Schizosaccharomyces pombe: one gene and its partners. Changing the gene in region 3 together with the main gene of any one other region gives a genetic interaction. Each region holds a gene or a part of one and is shown on either strand. Other genes may lie near its edges. The genes, in order: slt1, spc34, dbl5 and gef1.

The links.
Region 1: mutations in dbl5 (region 3) and slt1 together harm fitness more than expected from each alone (negative genetic interaction), as found in Schizosaccharomyces pombe (one large-scale study listed by BioGRID).
Region 2: mutations in dbl5 (region 3) and spc34 together harm fitness more than expected from each alone (negative genetic interaction), as found in Schizosaccharomyces pombe (one large-scale study listed by BioGRID).
Region 4: mutations in dbl5 (region 3) and gef1 together harm fitness more than expected from each alone (negative genetic interaction), as found in Schizosaccharomyces pombe (one large-scale study listed by BioGRID).

What each region holds. Positions count from the first base shown.
Region 1 is NC_003424.3:3,612,984-3,617,748, forward strand, and holds slt1 (protein slt1), read left to right. Parts: upstream 1-2,579; 5' UTR 2,580-2,642; coding exon 2,643-3,944; 3' UTR 3,945-4,117; downstream 4,118-4,765. Other genes in the region: cul1 (cullin 1), read left to right, coding at 1-1,900; TREX complex subunit, ATP-dependent RNA helicase Uap56, read right to left, coding at 4,558-4,765.
Region 2 is NC_003424.3:3,672,472-3,676,471, forward strand, and holds spc34 (DASH complex subunit Spc34), read right to left. Parts: upstream 2,424-4,000; 5' UTR 2,324-2,423; coding exon 1,829-2,323; 3' UTR 1,228-1,828; downstream 1-1,227. Other genes in the region: V-type ATPase inhibitor and disassembly protein in response to oxidative stress Oxr1, read right to left, coding at 62-628; ABC family Fe transporter Atm1, read left to right, coding at 3,055-4,000. UniProt on the Schizosaccharomyces pombe protein: Component of the DASH complex that connects microtubules with kinetochores and couples microtubule depolymerisation to chromosome movement; it is involved in retrieving kinetochores to the spindle poles before their re-orientation on the spindle in early mitosis and allows microtubule depolymerization to pull chromosomes apart and resist detachment during anaphase.
Region 3 is NC_003421.2:222,721-228,073, forward strand, and holds dbl5 (ubiquitin-protein ligase E3 Dbl5), read right to left. Parts: upstream 3,099-5,353; 5' UTR 2,924-3,098; coding exon 2,603-2,923; exon of another isoform or gene 2,453-2,602; coding exon 1,367-2,452; 3' UTR 1,141-1,366; coding exon of another isoform or gene 1,133-1,140; 3' UTR 1,077-1,132; coding exon of another isoform or gene 967-1,076; 3' UTR 884-966; coding exon of another isoform or gene 731-883; 3' UTR 688-730; coding exon of another isoform or gene 665-687; 3' UTR 633-664; downstream 1-632. Other genes in the region: ubiquitin-like protein modifier Urm1, read left to right, coding at 665-687, 731-883, 967-1,076, 1,133-1,140; hexose transporter Ght8, read right to left, coding at 4,037-5,353.
Region 4 is NC_003424.3:469,263-475,474, reverse strand, and holds gef1 (RhoGEF for Cdc42 (Gef1)), read left to right. Parts: upstream 1-2,484; 5' UTR 2,485-2,575; coding exon 2,576-2,617; intron 2,618-2,672; coding exon 2,673-4,892; 3' UTR 4,893-5,494; downstream 5,495-6,212. Other genes in the region: SPOM_SPAC24H6.08 (uncharacterized protein), read left to right, coding at 778-1,440; SPOM_SPAC24H6.10C (phospho-2-dehydro-3-deoxyheptonate aldolase), read right to left, coding at 5,649-6,212. UniProt on the Schizosaccharomyces pombe protein: Has a role in the control of cell polarity and cytokinesis. Involved in bipolar growth, via modulation of cdc42-shk1-orb6 signaling, and septum formation. Stimulates guanine nucleotide exchange of cdc42.

The DNA of each region.
Region 1 (4,765 bases), on a different chromosome or scaffold from region 3:
AAATAGATATTGGGTTAAACTGAAGAACAGATTTACTGAGACACTCGTGTACGACATTTACACACTTTGTCTTGTGTCATGGCATCATCACGTTTTTTCCCACATTCGCGATAGCCTACTTCAAAATTTGTTATACATGTTCACCAAAAAAAGATTATATGAACCTACTGATATGAAATATGTGGAAGTTTGTGTGGATTCTATCACTTCATTGAGCTTTGATAAAACCGATATGACAAAGCCTAACTTGAGCTCATACAAAACTTTTTTCGAAACAAACTTTATTGAAAATACAAAAAACTTTTATGCAAAGGAGTCTTCCGAATACTTGGCTTCCCATTCTATTACGGATTACTTAAAAAAGGCAGAAATAAGACTAGCAGAGGAGGAAGAGCTTGTGAGATTATATTTGCATGAATCCACATTGAAGCCGCTTTTAGAAGCGACTGAAGATGTACTAATTGCACAACATGAAGAAGTTTTGCACAACGACTTTGCACGCATGCTCGACCAAAACTGCAGTGAGGATATCATTCGCATGTACCGATTGATGTCTCGAACACCTAATGGGTTGCAGCCTTTACGCCAGACATTTGAGGAGTTTGTCAAGAGATCAGGCTTTGCTGCGGTTGCCAAAATTGTTCCCCAGGTCGGTGGAGAAGCCGATGTGGATCCTAAAGAGTATATGGAAATGTTACTTTCCACGTATAAAGCTTCCAAAGAACTTGTTAACACCGCATTTCATGGGGATACTGATTTTACAAAGTCATTGGATACAGCCTTTAGAGAACTTGTCAATCGAAATGTTGTTTGCCAGCGCTCTTCCTCTCGCTCCCCAGAGTTGCTTGCTAAATACGCCGACAGTATTTTGCGAAAAAGCAACAAGAATGTTGACATTGATGATGTTGAAGACTGTTTATCGTCGATTATCATTATTTTTCGTTATGTCGAAGACAAGGATGTTTTTCAAAACTTTTATACTAAGCTTTTAGCCAAGCGACTTGTGAATGGTACCTCTAATTCCCAGGATGCTGAATCTAGCATGCTATCTAAGTTAAAGGAAGTCTGCGGTTTTGAATATACTAGTAAGCTACAGCGTATGTTTCAAGACATCTCCTTGTCTCAAGAGATTACCGAAGCGTTTTGGCAACTCCCTCAGTCACGTGCTGGAAATATAGATTTCTCTGCTCTTGTACTTGGTACATCGTTTTGGCCTCTATCTCCCAACAATGTGAACTTTCATCTGCCAGAGGAATTAGTTCCTTTGTATGAAGGATTCCAAAACTATTACTATAGCTGCCATAACGGAAGGAAGTTAAGCTGGTTGTTCCATCTCTCTAAAGGAGAAATAAAGGCACGCATTAACCCTCAAACTAATGTCACTTATGTGTTTCAAGTTTCTACATATCAAATGGGTGTTTTGCTTTTGTACAACCATCGCGATTCTTATACATATGAGGAGCTGGCAAAAATAACTGGGTTAAGTACAGATTTCTTGACAGGGATTCTGAACATATTCCTAAAAGCAAAGGTGCTTCTCCTTGGCGACAATGACAAGCTTGGTGATCCTAATAGCACATATAAGATCAATGAAAATTTTAGGATGAAAAAGATACGGGTACAGTTAAATCTCCCAATTAGATCTGAGCAAAAGCAGGAATCTCTGGAGACTCATAAAACTATAGAAGAAGATCGAAAGTTACTGCTTCAATCCGCTATCGTCCGTATCATGAAGGCTCGCCGAACATTGAAACATGTAGTGTTAGTGAAAGAGACTATTGATCAAATTAAAAGCAGATTTACTCCTAAAGTGTCTGATATTAAGCAATGTATAGATATGTTAATCGAAAAAGAGTACCTGGAACGCCAAGGCCGCGATGAATACATTTACCTTGCTTGAGAGAAACATCTCCGCGAAATGCTCCAAAAAAAATGATATACTTTTCGAGTGTTATATATGTAATTAATCACGCAATACGAATTTTCTTTTTTCTTTTGTTTACATTCTTGTCTGCTAGTGATCTTTAATCCATTGAAACTAAGCTTTTAATAACGTAGGAAAGTCACCACTCCATTGAAGAAATGTGTAGCTTAGCTACATGCAAGCTATGCAACTTTTTTTTACTACTAGTTACTGGATAGCAACAACAAACTTCTATTATCCCATCATTTTACGTGGATAAGTCGTACAATGAAAAAGAAAAGAAAACAGTTATCGACCACATACATGCACCATTTCACGAAGTACAGATGCTTGAAATTGTGAAAGGATGTCAAAGATATGTTTTATATAATACATTTATTGTCAATTGTCGTCTTCGTCTTCCTCTGCAAATCGCTTGATTCTGTTAAAAAAGACATATATTGATTATTCAGCACGAAGAACGAAATGGTGCTTACAAATTAAAAAAAATTAATTGATCAGACTAATTAAGGCAATTTTAACGTTTTTATTGATTTACTACTTCCAGGTGTTGCTGGAGTGTTCATGGATGAAATGGATGATTCCGGTACATTCCGGTGCCAACACCATAGTATGACATAAATGAGTAAACATCGCGGTTCGCTCATTCTTCTTCAACACACCATCTTCCTTGACATATCGTTCTGAAAAAAAATACTAGGAAGAGAATCGTAGCATAATGGCGACTTTATTTCATCTTATAGATGTACATGGTAATGAATATCAAAATGTGCAAGACCACAGCCTTCAAATGGCCTTAGAAGAGCTGAATCAACAAATCGAAGTGATTCAACGCCAAGAAGAACAATTGGCTTTGCGAAAGAAGGCAATTGAGGATGCAAGGCAAGAAGTGCTCCAGCAAATTCAACATCGAAAATTCCGTCAATACTTGCATGAACGGGAACAAGAGGCTCGTTTGCAAGAGTATTATTTGGAGCAACTGCAAGAGCGTAGAGCTTTTGAAAATGTTGTACGGACTATAATCAGAAAGCGATTTGAGGATGAGGAGCGTGAAAGAGCTCATCGCAGGGAAAAGGCGGCTCGAAAGTTGCTACGCAGAATACTTGTCTCCGATTCACCCAATATGCAGCTTGTAGTGCCAAATAATTTCCAGCAAATGTTTATTCATCATCCAGTCGTAGACACAATATATTCTCCTGAAGAGTCTTCGGAATCCCAAGCTGAAGTCGCTGACCAACAAACTGGCCCATACTCTACATCAGAGTACGCAGGTGCTCAACAATCTCAACCATTTCGCATATTTATTCAAAACGACAATGCACCTGAACAACAAAGTGGCCCAGACGTTGCTGAGCTTAATACGCTACCAAATAGAAGCAAAACGTCTTCTCAAGCTAGTGTTTCTGATGAGGAGCTTTCTCGCACCGAGTTGGCCGAATTGAACGATTATTTATTGGCTGCTCAACGCCGCTCTAACAAACGTGGAAATGCTAGAAAACATATTGACTTAACTGCTCGTGAGAGCCCATCCACATCTTTCGCACAGATGTCGAAAGGTGCTTTGAATCCTGACCCAGAAGTCATTGAACCTGAAGACGAACCTACTACGTTTAGAAACCCACTAGAGGCATTGTTATCGACTGGTCAATATTCAGTGGTAAGTAGTGATGAGGACGTTGAATCTGTTCGTGATCCCGATGACGGGACGTTACCTATTCATTCTACCCAAACAGTTGAAGAGCCCATAGACACGAAGGCGGGAGAGAAATTAACTGACAGCTCAAAACAACCTTCACCTCCTGTTGCTGAACATTTCTCTAATGAGACCTTTTCGGCCTCTCCTAAAGGCGCTGAAACTGATGTAAAGAGTGAAGGAAGCAACAATCATGAGCAAGGCTCATTTAATGAACCTAAATCTAATGTTGACTCTAATGATTCTGCATCTCCGAAAAGACCATCTTCTCAAGCATCTTTACGACATAATGTTACTGTTGAAGAGGTCCCTGACGAGGATGCATGATAAATATTATATTTGTTTATTAAAAGATAAAATTTTCCTTCCTAACTACCAACAAATCTACTTTCAGACGAATCCATTTTTGCACATATCTAATGACCAACATTCACGTAATCACTTATGACTGGATATACGATAATTTAGATAAAAAATTTTCAATGCATTGAACATTTCCTATATCATTTATAACAAGCAACGTAATTACAGATTGAGAAAGCTCATTTTTAGGATTGTAGAAATCATATCGCTCAATTTCCTTTCTCTCTTTAAACTACAGTATCTTTTTACTTACTTAACTAAGGATATTTTCACCGTGAATATTTTAAAAAGAAAGGCTTTCAAGAAAACAATAGTCCCCAAAAATAAAAGGAAATAAGAAAGGAGTGGAAAAGCACTATTGTTTGCTTTGGTACGTAAACGTGTAATAAAAAGTTAAACCTTTTTTAATGTAAGGATCTGTAAAAGGAAGGCGTATTTGGAATAAGTTTGATAATATATTTAGTAGGATTGGAATACTTCTAAACCTCAACTTGAAGAATAGAAAGACAACACTAATTATGCATCGTTGCATAGCAAAACTGAAAACAGGTACAGGTATTGGTTTTCTATATACATTTTATGCATTCATGTATGAGCCAACATCAATTTCATCAGGAAGCTCAGTAATGTTAACCTCAAAACGTTCCTGAATTTTGTCCAAAATTTGAGAGTCTTCTTCTGAACTAGAAAATGTAATGGCCAAACCTTTTGTACCGAAACGACCTGCACGACCGACACGATGAAGATAACTATCAGGGGAATCAGGCATGTCATAGTTAATTACA
Region 2 (4,000 bases), on a different chromosome or scaffold from region 3:
CTGATGCACATTTCCGAGTCCATCTTTTATTTTCTTTTTTCTTTTCATTCGTTAGTTGATATTACTCCAATACCCAGAGCTCGATGTCCACGATTTGGATTCGTTGGTCAGGACAGCCACGATAGCTCAAAGGATTGTTTTCGAATGCAGGAGTACGACTAGAGTAAGCGTACTCTAGAGAGCCATCAAGCCAAAGGCTGTATCTTCCATTACCCCCACCAAATGCCAAAAAGCTTTTGGTGCAATATGCAACAAAATTGGAATTTCCTACGAAAGGGTAATGTACATACTTTTTGGGAGGAAAATATTTCCACAAGAAGGTTTCCTCGGAACCAAAGTAATGAGGTGCAGGAATTAAATAATCAGGGATAAAAACTCCAAAAACATCGCCGTCTGTATCGCGCACAGCTAAAATGCAAGCCCCTTTAGGATGGCCGCTTCGAGCTTTTTCCTTTTCGCAGGCTAAGTACATTGTTTGAAGAGATGCGCCGTCATGTTGCAACGAATAGATTCGTTTCCAAGTTTCAGCAGAAGCATATCTTGCTGGCAAGTTCTCAACGATGTGACTGGCCAATTCATCTGTTATTAAGCCGTCTTTAACACTATACTGTCTTGTAAAGTTAAACATTTCAATTGATACAAAATACTTGCTAAAATTTTGTACTCTTATGGTGTGTGTAGTTAGAAAGATTAAGGTGATCCACTAGCCTTATGTAATAAGTAAACAAATAAATAATTGTGAATACAATAACAAACACTGAAATAAACAACAGTAAGTGTATTCTTTAATTTTCCAAAGAAGAAGTTTTTCTTAATAAAGGTATTCTTATTGATCCTTTTTTATTGTTTTTTTTGAGAAATCGAGTAAATAATTTTTTTGGCGTAATGTGTGATTGTTAAGGTGGAGCAGCAGCCTTGGTATTAGCAATTAAAACATTCGTTCAAATTCTATCATTCAGTAACAACAAAAAATAATTATAGTTGACGAGTCAATAGAAACACTATGAACCTGACTTTTACTCTATATTAATAATCAAATATAGAATAAATACATAGTGTTCCATTACTTGCTATCATACTATGCTATTGAACTTTTATTTATATCTTAAATAAAATCTTTTAGAACTTTTAAGAACAAGTATGTACTTATGTTTGTATAAATATTAAGAACTCATTACAACAAATGAGTCCAATGCAAAAGCTGGCGTTGAGCCAGTAATCTAATTGCCGTCTTTAACTTATCATGAACATTATTGTATTTTTCACATACTATTCTATAAATGAGAATATTACAAAAACAATGAGTTATTATGCTCCTGAGTTGTAATGTACTTAGTTTGCTAATTATCTTCGTTCAATATCTTTGCCGCTTTAGAGAATTCCTGGAGCAAACAGTCCAAAGATTCTCTTCTCTTCTCTTTATGTTTTTCATATTCTAGGTATTCATAATCCTCTAGCTCTTTTGTAGCCTTCAAAGTAACAGTAGACGAACTTGCTTTTTTCTTAGCAAGCGACATTTCAATATGCTTTTTAAAGGATGATATATCAAAACATCGACTTCTTTTTTTCCTCTTCAGCTTCATCAGTTTGTATTGGGAGTAAGCCGATCGATCATCTGACGTCGAAGGATAACTGCAATCAGAAATATCTCGGGTGCTTCTTTGAGGATGTAACTTCAAAGGAATGAGTCCATGGTCTTTTATATCCTCGCTTAAATACATTTCTTGTTCTTTGCTCAAATCCATGATAAAACAACGACCTCGCTTCTCCTTTTCTAAATGTTCACCAATACGAAAAGTCGATCTGACTACCAACGCAAATAGCCTTCCTAAGATTGTATCAGTTGCTTCACTTTTTCAATTTCTCTTTCAAGTCTTTGGATTTCAGAAGTTTCACGCTGTAGAATATTCTCCCTAGCAGACACCTGATCGGTTTGTCGTTTTTCAAGTTGCTGCAATTGCTCTTTCTGTTCCAGTAAAACGTTTTCCAAATTCTCAATTCCTGACATATGTAAGTTGTATTTCTCAACCAGAGTCTCCAAATATTCACGGCCACCTTGCATAGGATATATATCTAGTAGTTCCTCAATACAAGCAACGTAGTCTGCAGGGTTTTCTGATGCCAACCTTTCACTCCAATCCTTCGGTAGAGATTTGAACTCAGCTGCAATTAGTTCTTCCTTCTGAGTATCGCGAATTAAATCAGTTATAGCATGAGTATGTAGCACCGCGTCTGTGAAACGTGCTGCGTTTGGGTTTTCCGGTTCCAAAAGTTTTTCTGATGTAGCAGCAATAGACTGTAAATAATTCAACAAATCAGACATTTATTTAATAAGTCATCAAAAACACTAATTCGACTCGTAATTAGTAAAAGGTATGTTTCAATTCACTTTACCAGAGTTGCCAAAAGTGTATGCAATCTCTGGGTGTGTGCAGGTGGTTTAACCAAAACGTAATAAACGTTTGGTATCTTTGATATAATGGAAATCACCTGTGCCTGTTTTTGAAATTCTGTTCTCGCTCAGCAAATTATTTTAACAAAGGTAAAGCATTGCGTTCATTCCTTGCTATTTTCCTTTATTTGCTACACCGAATCATTCTTACGTTTACGCTTTAGGCACACATTTCTTCAGCTCAGATTATCCATTAATAATTATATGTAAAACTTTTATAAAGGTTAATACACGCTAAAAATTTCGTAATCCTCAGTGCAGTTTTGATGAGTTTGCAATTGTTGGACTCTACTTCGCAATCGTGATCTAATCAAAATCTACAACTTTCTAAGTCTGCCAGATTTATAGAACTAAAGGTTTGAGAATTATCCTTCTCTTAGTTCTTTTATTCATATATACCATCTATTAAAAAGTTGCCTCTTTGGAGGCTATTTGAGGTTTTTCTGACTGAACGTTTCGTCTGTTTTTCATATTCTATCAGCCAAGTTTATTCTATTTAAATATAGATTTAAAAACTTTAATTATCTTAAATAGAAGAGCAGTATATTGGGTATAACTAACAGCTTGAAGCTCTGACATCTTAAAGTGTTGTATTAATAAAAATGCTAGAACGATGTCCCTGGAAATTAATCAGCTCGCCAAGAAATATTCCAGCTCGCTCTTTTCTTAATTCTCGTGGAACTTATCTTGTTTTAAGAAAGTCAAATATATTACCTCTTCAACATATACTGCGGTTTTCCAATTTTGCATCTAAGCAATGTTTCCCACTTAGAAATGGAAATAATTCGGCTTCAAAAGCGTTATGGAATAACAAATCAAAAGAAAAAGAGCCACTGAATACTTCTGTTAAACTTGCTTCCGATGTACCAGATGATAAAAATGTAACAGGACAAATGATTGTTAAGGACATGCTTCAATATATTTGGCCCAAGGGGAAGACTAATTTGAAAGTTAGAGTTGTTTCGGCTCTCGCACTACTTGTAGCTGCCAAAATTCTTAACGTCCAAGTTCCTTTTTACTTTAAATCAATTATCGATACCATGAATACAACACTTGTTCAAGAAGTAGGAGCATTGTGGTCTACTGTAGGAGCTGTTGTTCTCGGTTATGGCTTTGCTAGAATATTTTCTACCGTTTTTCAAGAGTTAAGGAATAGCGTTTTTGCAATTGTGTCGCAAAGCGCTATTCGAAGTGTTTCTAGCAATGTCTATCAACATCTGTTGAACCTTGACATGAATTTTCATCTCTCAAAGCAAACAGGAAGTATTACTAGAGCAATGGATCGTGGTACAAAAGGTATTAGTTTCATTCTTTCCTCCATGGTGTTACACATCATTCCTATTACCCTTGAAATTGCTATGGTGAGTGGTATTCTCACTTACAAGTACGGACCTTCGTTTTCGGCCATTGCTGCTACAACCGTTGCTCTTTATGCTCTTTTTACTGTTAGGACGACATCCTGGAGAACTGTATTCCGTCGTCAAGCAAATGCTGCTGACAGTAAAGCATCAGCCGCGGCAATTGAATCTCTGATTAATTATGAAGCCG
Region 3 (5,353 bases):
ATTGAATGATATACACACAAATAGTTCAATTGTTGTGATTGCGACAAACGAAACAGCGAAATCAAGAATATTCACTCTGTAGTCCAATTCCAACCACTTTAAAGACTTTTTAACAAAATAATAAAATTGTTCAAACAAATTTCCAACTAATTCCTTCAAACAATGGCATAAAAAAAGAAGAACGAAAAAACTGAACGAGGCAGTGGATTGCTTCTGACACATTTATTTTGTCACTGCCTTTTTTATTCACCCCAACTTAGCTTTCCTTAAATGTAAGCTACGCAGTTTGGTATCTGATTTACGGATACGTAGAACTGCGGTGAGGTTTTTAGTAATTTCAATATAGCGGTATGCGCCCTGTTAACTAACAATATTATATTTATTGTTATAAGAAGTCTAATAGTATCGAATACCAATATATCTAATAACTAAACTGAGGAATCGAGTCAGCAGTTGTTATCAACGGGTATTCATAATACGGTGGTTAGCGTGTGACATATAATGATACATAACGTAGTGAGTCATAAAACACGCTAAACAGATACCAAACTGCGTAGCTGACATGACACTGAATTTCTATCACTCTTTAACAACTACAGTGGAATATACAGTTAGAACGTACATTTTGCGTTGCTTTCACGAATCCCCAAAGTTTTAAAAAACAATGGCTATAAAAGTAGAGTTACTGTAGGTGTCATATTTTATTACAATTGGTAACCTATTATTGTAGAGGTGGGCTTGACTTGCTCTTCAATAAGCAGAAAGCGTTGTCGTTGTCACTTTCAAACCTTGGCTCAACTAAGTTGGGATCATTGATTGATTATATGGCTCAAATAATAGAAAAGCCTTCTCAAAAAGATTTATTTATTTTAAATGGGACTGTGTAAGTGAACATGGAGTGGTATCATCTTTTTCAGGCTCAAACGATGTTTTAAATGATTTTGCAGAACTAACACTTCCCTGCAGACGTCCGGGGATCATCGTCTTAGTAAATGACCAGGATTGGGAACTTCTTGAAAAGGAAGAATATAACCTCGAAGAAGGTGACGAAGTTGTATTCGTCTCAACGTTACACGGTAAAACAATATTTAGCATTTTTTTTATAATATTTAAAACTAATTGTATCAACTAGGAGGTTAAATGGCAGGTATAATTATAAGACAAAACAAACATGCACAAATATCATTAGTATTGAATTTTTTTTTTTAGTCATAAATCCGACATGTATGCTAAATTTTAGTGTCTTATGCTCTAGAGACCCAAAATCCAAATCACAATTAAATCATTCATCATGAACAGAAACCATAGACCAGGTTAAGGTTACTTGATTTCTCGGTATAATTTTTTCTTCGTTAGAGTTGAGTAATTATGATTCTTCGTCAGAGTCTAGTTGTATTGTACGAGTTCGCCGAGCTTGCCGACGTGGATAGCTTGCAGTGAATACCTCGGAATAGGGTTCAAGATCAAATCCTCTATTCTGGCTGGATGATTGTGAACTACGGAGGCCTGTTCCATTAGTTACAATATTTCCTTCATCCTCATCTGATGAGAATGGATGTTGCCTGGAATGAATATTGTTATGAGAAGGAGAATTATTTGAGGAAGAATTGAGAGAATCCAAACTTTCATTCTGAATGTCAGCAAGCTCTCTTCGTAACTCATCGTATCTTTGCCCATCGTTATAACAGGTCTCAGATCGAGATACCATATTCGTCCCTCCAGAGTCGCGCTCTTCATCGAAGCCGTTCATAATATCAATCTCTTCACTATCTGTGCTATCCAAAGCAGTAATACCATTTCCATTACTTCCATTGACAGGAGCTACGAAGTCATCGTCACTTTCGACAGGAGATAATTGGCTTGTAGCACGATTATCTATAAATCCATCATCAACATCGTACTCACCTGGACCAGAAAAATCAGATTCTAAATCAGACCCCACAAATTCTTCTCCTTCGTCAAATCTCAGCCAATCTTGTGGTACTGCAGTTATTGGCGCATGTCCCATATTATTAAATGCGCGGTTAGTCGAGATATTCCCACCACGGGTGTTATCGCCATTTAGGCTGGAATCACTCTCAGCATTTTCTCCATCCCAAAACCATTCACGACCAGAATCTTGGTCATCCGATATTTGAAAACCGCAATGATCGCAATGGTACGGATTTTCCAATTCCCATTGGCAACGAGCGCATCGTAAAACTCCATCTTCAGAATCAACAAGGATACTTCTTGGGTAATGAGAATCTTCTTGTTTAAACATCCCATCAAACAATACCTCCTTTTGCTTCTTTGCTGGATTTTCATTGATTCCCACAAGTGGGAAGCCACTGTTTGAGGCAGCAACCACATTCATTATTTCATATACAAGATATGCTGGTGAAGGTTGTGTATACAGTTTTTGGCGACAAGTTGGGCAAGATTTTGACTCTTTTAACCAATTTAGAAGACACTATTTATTAGTTTCAATCCTTTATAGAAAAAAAGTAAATCTAGAAACTTTTAAAGATATAATCTTGCTCTTTCAATATTTCACTCACAATGAGGGAATTCAATGATAATGAAAAGTTATTCCAGTGTTAAGCATCAAATTTTCACTTACCTCGTAACAATATGTATGACCGCAATGAGTGGTAAAAGGTCTTTGTAAAGCTTCTGTGCAAATGGGACATTCCAGAGTTTTTTTTATTTTCTGGAACGTTTCGAGCAAAGTTTTTGTATCGGGGATTTGTTTTTTATTTTCTGAATTACTGCTAATGCGAGACTTTTTGTACATTTGAGTTGCATCACTAGACGCAAAAGTTGTGCTGTTGGATTGTGGAATTAATAGAACCTCCATTTTCTCATCGTCCAAGTTATTATTATAATTTTCTTCATCGTCTTCATCCAAAACTACTTGGCGATGAGAACTGCGTTTAACCATTGCGCCCAGACAGATAAATTACTATTGAACTTGGTATGTGAGCTCTAACGTTTCTAATCCGGAGAGAAAGCTTTATCAAAATAATAAGTTTAAATAAAATCCTTTAAAAAAACGAATTATATGCAAATTCTTCAAAGCAAATCAACCATTGATTTGTACTTTATATATTTCTTGTAGATGGCAAATACTCTGCGTATTGCAATGCAGCGGTTTACAACTGCATTATCAAATTCTTCTGGTATTATCATAAATATCATTTAGTGACTTGTAGTCAGTGTAATCTCGGGCATATGTAAATTTATTTAACGTTACAAAATGCGATTGCGTTCAACAAGCATGGCTAATAGCGTTTTCTTGTAGCTTGGATTTTTATGAGGATTATTCACAGATACGCACCGATGGCATTTCACGTATAGTTTTAAGTATAATATTTTCAACCATAGCTTTCAATGTTTCACTCTAAGTAGAATTGAACGTCTCCCGACTTAACTCGTAAATATCGTTGATTACTTACCGGAAACCTTTTTTTGCATCGTTCTAACCAGGTAAATAAATTGAACGAATGCTATTCAAAAACATTCAAGGATTAAATAACATATCAACAATTAGATACTACGCTTATTTACTGTTCAGCATACCTTTCTACTCAATGTCTACAATTCGCAATACACAAAACGATATGTAATAGCACATTAGAAATAAGGAACTGTTTAATTTTTGTTAATCCTTAACGAAAAAACTATCAGCATTTAACTAAATTATCTGTTTACATTATTATTAAAATTATAATGCAATCCCTGCCAGTTCCTCATCAACGCCTTTCCATAGTAATAAGGACCGGGCCACTCATAAAAACATTACCAGTTAAAAAGCATGCACACCAACTTAATATTAATATCTCTAACAGAAAGGACGGAACAGTTTGAATAACAACGACAAAGGAAATGCAAATAAAAAATAACTCTCAAAGTTGGCACAGCCAAAATCCAATTATACAATTCGATTTTAATGAAGGATGAATCAGCAAAAAACACATACTCATTAAAAAGAAATAACATTTAAAAACTACCGATTCGTGTAAACCGAAAGCATTGCCATTTTCGGTCAACAAACTTATGCGTAGCGATCTTGTTCATCAACATAGTTAGACTCAGGCTTAGCACGGCCTTCAGAAGAAGAGGTAGAAGATGTAATGTCGTTACTCGAAGTATCCTCCATACCCTCATTGTCAACGTTTTCAAGATGAGCGGCACTTTCACCTTGAACACCACGAGATTTTTCAAGAACCTCTTGTTGTTGCTTTGCAGCTTGTCCGAGATTCTCGGGCCTAGGCATCCAGGGCTTAGCGCCGGAGAGATACAGTTCGTTAATCTCTTCCAAGGTAAGACCTTTGGTTTCATGGGCAAACAAGAAAATAATACAAGCAGCACACAAATTACAGGCAGCGAAAATATAACCATACTTGAATCCAATGGAGTCACTAATGAAGGGAGTAAAGAAAGTAATAAGGAAACCCCACAACCAGTTACCAGTGGTAGCGACGGCAGCACACTTGGAACGATAACGAATGGGATACGATTCACCAACGATAACGTATGCGGCAGGACCCCAAGTTTGAGCAAAACTGAAAATGAAAAGACATGAGAACACAATCATAACGGCACCGGCACGATGGTTTGAGGTACCATTCTTACGAGTAAGAGCACGATTACCAACAGCTGCGTAAATGAAGAAAGTAATGGATTGCCAAACACCACCAATAATCAATGGCATACGACGACCAAAGAACTCTAGGACGAAAAGACCACCAAACGTACATCCAAAGTTAACGGCATCAAGAATCAAAGCAGAAAGATAAGGAGAGTTCATACCAGTACCCTCAAACACCTCGAAACCATAGTAGAAGTAGTAGTTATCACCGGTAAGTTGTTGAAGAGACATGACACCAAGACCAAGGAAGGTACGATAACGAATATCCGCACCTAGAATGTCACCCCAAGTAGCGGGACCACCGGCCATTTCAGCTTCACAGTCAGTTTTAATGACATGGTATTCCGTTTGAATAATTTCGTGTTCACGAGGAAGAACGTTGTTTTTGCACATAATGTCAAGAGCCTCTTCATCTTTACCAATAGCAATCAAATAACGAGGGGATTCAGGAAGGAAAGAAATACCGATGAACATGATAATACCCCAAAGCAAGTTAATACCCATGGATACACGCCATTGAGCAGTCTTGTGCAACTTGTGAGTACCCATGTTGATACAAGCGGCAATGAAAATACCACCAGTGACAGCCAATTGATAGGTGGTGACAATGGTACCACGAAGGGTAGCGGGAGCAACCTCAGATTGGAAACCGGGGGCAAGCACAGACAAGGCACCAATGGCAAGACCAGTCCAAATCTTAGCAACCATGATTTGGACCCA
Region 4 (6,212 bases), on a different chromosome or scaffold from region 3:
TCTCTTCTATACATTTCTAAATGGGATTTCTTCATAGCCGCTTCTATCTGCCTAATAAAGAAGTTTGTTTGATTGCATAGTGGTTAATTTTGTTTTGTGAAATTTTAATTATTGTACTTAATGTGTAGATTATAATTATGTAAGATTGTAGTGTCAGTTTATTTCATATGAGTAATATGATGAATTTGTTGTTTGTTTTGTAAAAAAGCTGCTTCAGGTAATAAACGGATTTTAAATAGAAGGTCGTTGATTAAGTTTTTCAGGCTTTAGATGGTAGTTGAGCTTCTACGGATATTAAATGTTAATTACTTCTATCGCTCGAATGGATAATTATTCAAACATCGGAGCCATTGCAATATGCTGACCTTTATTATTTGAAATCCATTATTGTATTAATTATGATATTCCCGTACGTTGCACATTCAGCGCTATTGTAAAAACTGAGTAGGTAATTTTTACTACACCAAAATGTCGATATTATTCGTCAGCTACGAACTTTGATGCTCTAAGTACTTATATTTATCCTTATTATAATAACCTTACCATTTTTTCCTACTACCGTTGTTTTTAATAGTTCCGCTGCTGAAATCACCTTATTGAACATGTGATATATGGCAATGTTGCATTCGTCTCTTCTTATCCACTACCACAAACCTTCTTGAACTGCTATAAAGGAATACACCAGCCAGTTTCTTTGGTCGAGATAGAAAGATTCTTATTTATTTCGTTCGTTTAAACAAACTAAACATAGAACAACATTATTTGCGTCAACACAACATGACTTCACATCAAACTGGGAAAATTGAGGTGCACTGGAACGATCCTTCTTCTGGTATCTTTTTAAGTCAAACTCAACGAACGTCTTCCACATCAAGTTTAAAGAAATCGGCTTCGAGTAGACGTTTGGTTTATGGTGATGACATGCTGGCACCCAAACCGTTAGCTGGTCAAGTACTTAGTAAATCACCACTTCCTCCTTTTTCACCTTCAAAAATTATGAACAGGAGTATATCTGTTCCTCCCACGAATATCTCTGTTCCTCAAATTAGCAGTAATCCTCTCAACTTGATGAAGAAAAGCAGTGACAATGATATCTTTACCACGTTTAACGATACAACAAACGATTGTATGAACGAAGCTTCTTGTGAAGATGTCAGGCACTCCCTATTGCAAATTATAGAAAGTAAATCAAATCTTAGTGATTCTGTTCATAAGATGTTGGGTGAACGAGTCAAAACGAATTTACTATTACAAGGTCAACTAGAAAACATGGAAGGCTTTTGGCTACAAAAATTATCGCAAACATGTCGCTTGGCGTTGACAGGAAACATTAGTGAGGCGAAGGCATTTATTGTAGAAATTATGTGTGCCGGTGTTGTAACTAATTGTGTGCGCTGGTGTCCAGTTTTGAAGACTCTAATTGAAAACCTTGCTATCTAGCTTTACATGTTGTTATATATTTTCTAAATCTTCCTGCTGCAAGTTATATGACACTAATGCTCTTTTTTTCTTAATTCTATCATTTTTAATGATGTTACTCATTTGCATTTTAACAAACCATTTATAAGCATGATTAGCTATGTCGGACGCTAACGAAGTTACAAGTTAAAGGATTTAATAACACTTCCTTTTTGAAATTAGAAGAAATCTTAATAGATATAATGGAAGTTTCCATTTTTTTTACAATATATATTTTTCTTATGGCCTGTCGATTAATAGTATTTTTAGTTTAATTTACTGAAACATTATATTTGTTTTTAGTGAACACCGTAGAATATTTAGGAATTTTGACTAGGTCTGTTTATCATACACACTTAGTATTAGATATCGTGATTTTTTGAATATATGAAAAAAAGTACTACAGACAGAAAATGCAGCGTATTAGCCTCAAGTAATTATTAAAAAAAATAAAAATTTTCTTTTAAAATTATACAGTGTTTACCAAAGTTATGTAAGACAATCAACTGCCGCTTCTCTCTCATTTCTGTTTATATACATCTTTAATGTTTATTACTTATTAAAAAAAAAAAAAAAAAAAAAAAAAAAACAAAGCAAATTACGTGCATTACCAAGAAAACAAAACCGCTCTAAATATTTAAGCTAATTAAAACAATGAAATAACAAATTTATTAACTTGTAACCGTAACAGTGGAATTTATTTTAACTGCTGTCATTTCTAGAATTTCATAAAGGGAGACATGAATAAATTTAACCTTATATTACAAATTGTAAATACGTAAATGTTTATCACAAAATCGAATACTCAAGTCATATTACTATGTACCTGTGCAAGCAACCATTTGTAAACCAAGTACAAAGGTAAACTGCCTCTGTCCGCGGTTGGCGCTCAAAAAGCTGAGCCAAGCCTATTTTTGGCAAACTATTTTTCGTGGGTGATTACGTTATGCATTGGTAATGAAGATAAGGAAGTGGAAGGTATTGAAAGTGGATTAAGAAGAAGTTGGCGCCAAATCTCCAAAACCTGTGCTTTACCAACAACGTTACCTAATAAAATTCATGTAAACAAAATTTCCAAAATTGTCATTCATTTTATTGTTCTCCAAATGTTTTCAATATGGAGACTTTAAAAGCAGATCTTTCGGATATGTCCGATTCCGTATGTCCTTATACTTGATTTGAATGTGTGTATATGTGTTAACAATGTTGATCAGCCTGAGTACTTTGAAACCTTGGCAAACAGGGATTTACCAAGATTGCCTGGAACAAGCAAGCTTCATCGAGCTGCATGTATTAAACGAAAATCTATCAATTTAAGCCTTCCTTCTAACAGTTATTCGCTTTCTTACCGACAATCAGACGACACTGATGGCGATGTTTCAGAATCACAGAGTGAATACAGGTTGAGTAGTGGAAGGAGGTCTCGAGCAAGCTTTGCTCGTGCTTTACAAGATCCCCAAACTCCAAACACTCCTCCCGTATCGTCTCAGCACCGAAGATTCTTTTCGGAGGGCTCCTTCAATTTGCCAAACTCCAACATGAGCCACTCATTAAATGGGGATTCTACAGCCTCTAATAGTTCTACTTTAACCCCTAATCGTATTTATGGGGACCGCAATCGTCAAGATTATGCTCAGTCTAGCCGATATACTTTGCCTTCGTTGCCTAGTTCCCCATCATATAACTGTCCTACAACACTTCGAAAAATACATACAAACACGAGTAGCAATGGAACTTCACGAAGAGTTAGCGGCCTAGGGTCTTTTATGGCACAGAATTCCTCTGAAACTAGCAGTAACAGGACTTCGGCGTATCTACCTGGTAGCTCTACGGATGAACAAGAAAAGCGTTCCAGTGTGACTTTGGCAAGTATGCCTTCCTCTCATTCGTCTACAGCGTCCCTCCTTTCACCTCTTGATACTACTTCTTTTTCTACTAAGTTGGACTCTACTATTTTGGCCTTGGAAACTGATGAGTCTCTCAGCCGAACAATTTCGTATGCCACTACTTCTTTACCGAGCACACCAGGTAAGCGTTTATCAAAGGAATCTCTTGCTATGTCTGAAGCCAGTTCTATCAATCCAGAATATAAGCGTATTAAAAAGCGTGCAAATTTGATTAAAGAGCTGGTTACTACTGAAGCTGCCTATTTAAACGATCTCATTGCGATTCAACAAAGTTATGGCTTGCGGGTCAAAGAATGCAGTGCATTGAATCCAGTTGACGCCCAAACAGTTTTTGGCGATATAGAGTCTTTATTAACTTTTACTGTGGAATTCCATAGTCGACTTTATCAAGCTGGTGAAGGCTCCTGGCGTGTAAACTTGGATACCCAGCTTATAGATCCTCTTCCTTGCAATTTAGGTCTTATTTTTTTAGAAAGCCTTTCTGAAATCGGTCAAATTTATACTGGTTATTGCAACCGTCAAGATTCGGTTTTCAAAATTATCACTAAATGGAGAGAGAAACCTGCAACTGCATCCTGGATTATGGAGGGTGATAAAATAGTTCAAAAATACACGAACGCCTGGGATTTGGGTAGTTTAATAATTAAACCTTTACAGCGCTTACTCAAGTACCCCCTATTATTGCAAAAAATCATTGATGTTACTCCTGAAAGTAGTTCTGAGCGCCCAGATTTGGTCCTTTCTTATCAACTATTACAGGAGTTAATATCTGGTATAAACCAGAAGCAGAAGCCTTCTCATAAGCGTGGGTCGTTAAGTGCTTCTCATAAACGAGACGCTGCTTGGAGTTTACTCTATAAAGCAACATCGAATAAATCTAGGCCCACCACTACATCTACTGAGTTAAAAACTGATGCTCGATTGAATTTTCAACGCCAAGTGCTTCAAGATTTTCGACAACGATTCGCTATATTAAAAGCCTTACATGCTACATTGGAAACGTGGTACGTTACTGTACATCGTGGATTTTCGGTTTTTGAAAAGGTTTTAGCAGAGCTTGAAGGGCTTAGTGCTTTAGAGCCCGAAGACAAGCCGGTAGATACGTGGCGTAAGTATCATTTACTTGCGCACATGATGACTGCTAACCTTCCTTCTCAAATACAAACGTCTTTAAATTCTTCTATCCTTAACCCAATCACAAATATCCTACGAGTGATTCAAAAAGTTATTCAGTTCATTATCAGCGCTGAATTTGTGATTCCTGCTCAAAAGCTTGAGGCAATTTCTACTCTTGTTGAGAAGGAATTTCACAGTGTTGTTTATCATTTTATTGGTATTCAACGCTCTCTCTATGAAAACTACGCTCAAGGTTTCTTGTTTCTTATCCCTCAAGACATGAGGGATAGCATCTTAGAAGAAACGCAAGATTATGCAGAGTTAGTTCGAGCCTTTGAACCCATGCATTATGATGACGAGGTATTGCTGGAGGAATTAATGAAAAGTGTCTCTTTAGCTGCGAGGGTTTAAGAGCAACTTCTTTAGTCGAATATTTTTTATCTGTTCTATATATATACACATTTAGATATACTGCATTCATGTTACTTGAATGATGAAAACGTTTCTCTGGACCATGGTTTTTTGCAGCTTCCATGTATTTAACATCACAATTACATTTATTTAACCTAATATCTGCGTTTGTCTGATTACAATTCGTTTAGGTTCTTTTAACGGTCTTTTTTTGTCTATCACAGAGGCCTGTTAAGTTTAGTTTCAAATTAGGATTCTAAACGCTTTTACGCCTTCCTTTTATGCATCTCATTATTTTTGTCTGCTCAAGTCGAGCTATTAATTATTGTCTTTTCACTTTTTTTTTTTAAACTAGGAACGTTTTGGCTTTTCTGCTGTTATGCCATTTTATTTGTTCATACGCTTCCACTTTTCATTTATATGCTTTAATAATGTATATAATATTTGACTTTCACTTTAACTATGTTTTATGTTTAAAATATGTAATTAGGTTTTGATTGAATTAATTTTGTTCGTCGTTATTTATCCTAGTTGACTAACAAAAACAGGTCAAATTCTTACATTCGTAGTAAAACCAAAACGTAAATAAAAATACTTACGATGAAACAGTCTGGAACCATCCGATAAAGTGCAATGATAAGTACGATAAATAACCTTTTAAAAGTCACACTGTTAATTACGGCAAATACAAATTTATTATACAAGAAACCAAAAAATTTATTTTTATAAAACTGTCTCAATAACCTTCATTATAGGTTAATGAGAACGACGAGAACGGACGGCAGCAGCCAACTGTTCAAAAACGGCGGTAGTGTCGTCCCAACCAATGCAAGCATCGGTGACACTGACTCCATATTTCATACTTGACAAATCATCCTCAGGTATAGCTTGCTTACCTTCGTTAAGGTGAGATTCGATCATGACACCAGTAATTGCTTTCTGACCGTTTGCCACCTGCTCAGCAATACAAGCAGCAACCTTGGGTTGATTCTTATGGTTTTTAGATGAGTTTCCATGAGAACAGTCGATCATGATACTAGGTAGCTTGTTGCATTCTTCGAGTTTAGCCTTGGCACCAGCCACTGAATCAGCATCGAAGTTAGTCCCACTTTTACCACCACGCAAAATAATGTGTGTATCAGGGTTACCTGTAGTAGTAACAATGGCTACAACACCCTGCTTTGTGACAGACAAGAAATGATGAGGGTTGGCAGAAGAATTCATAGCATCTATAGCAATACCAATGTTACCGTCAGTAGCATTCTTAAAACCTATTGGAAAAGAAAGCCCTGAAGCAAGTTCTCGATGCAATTGGGACTC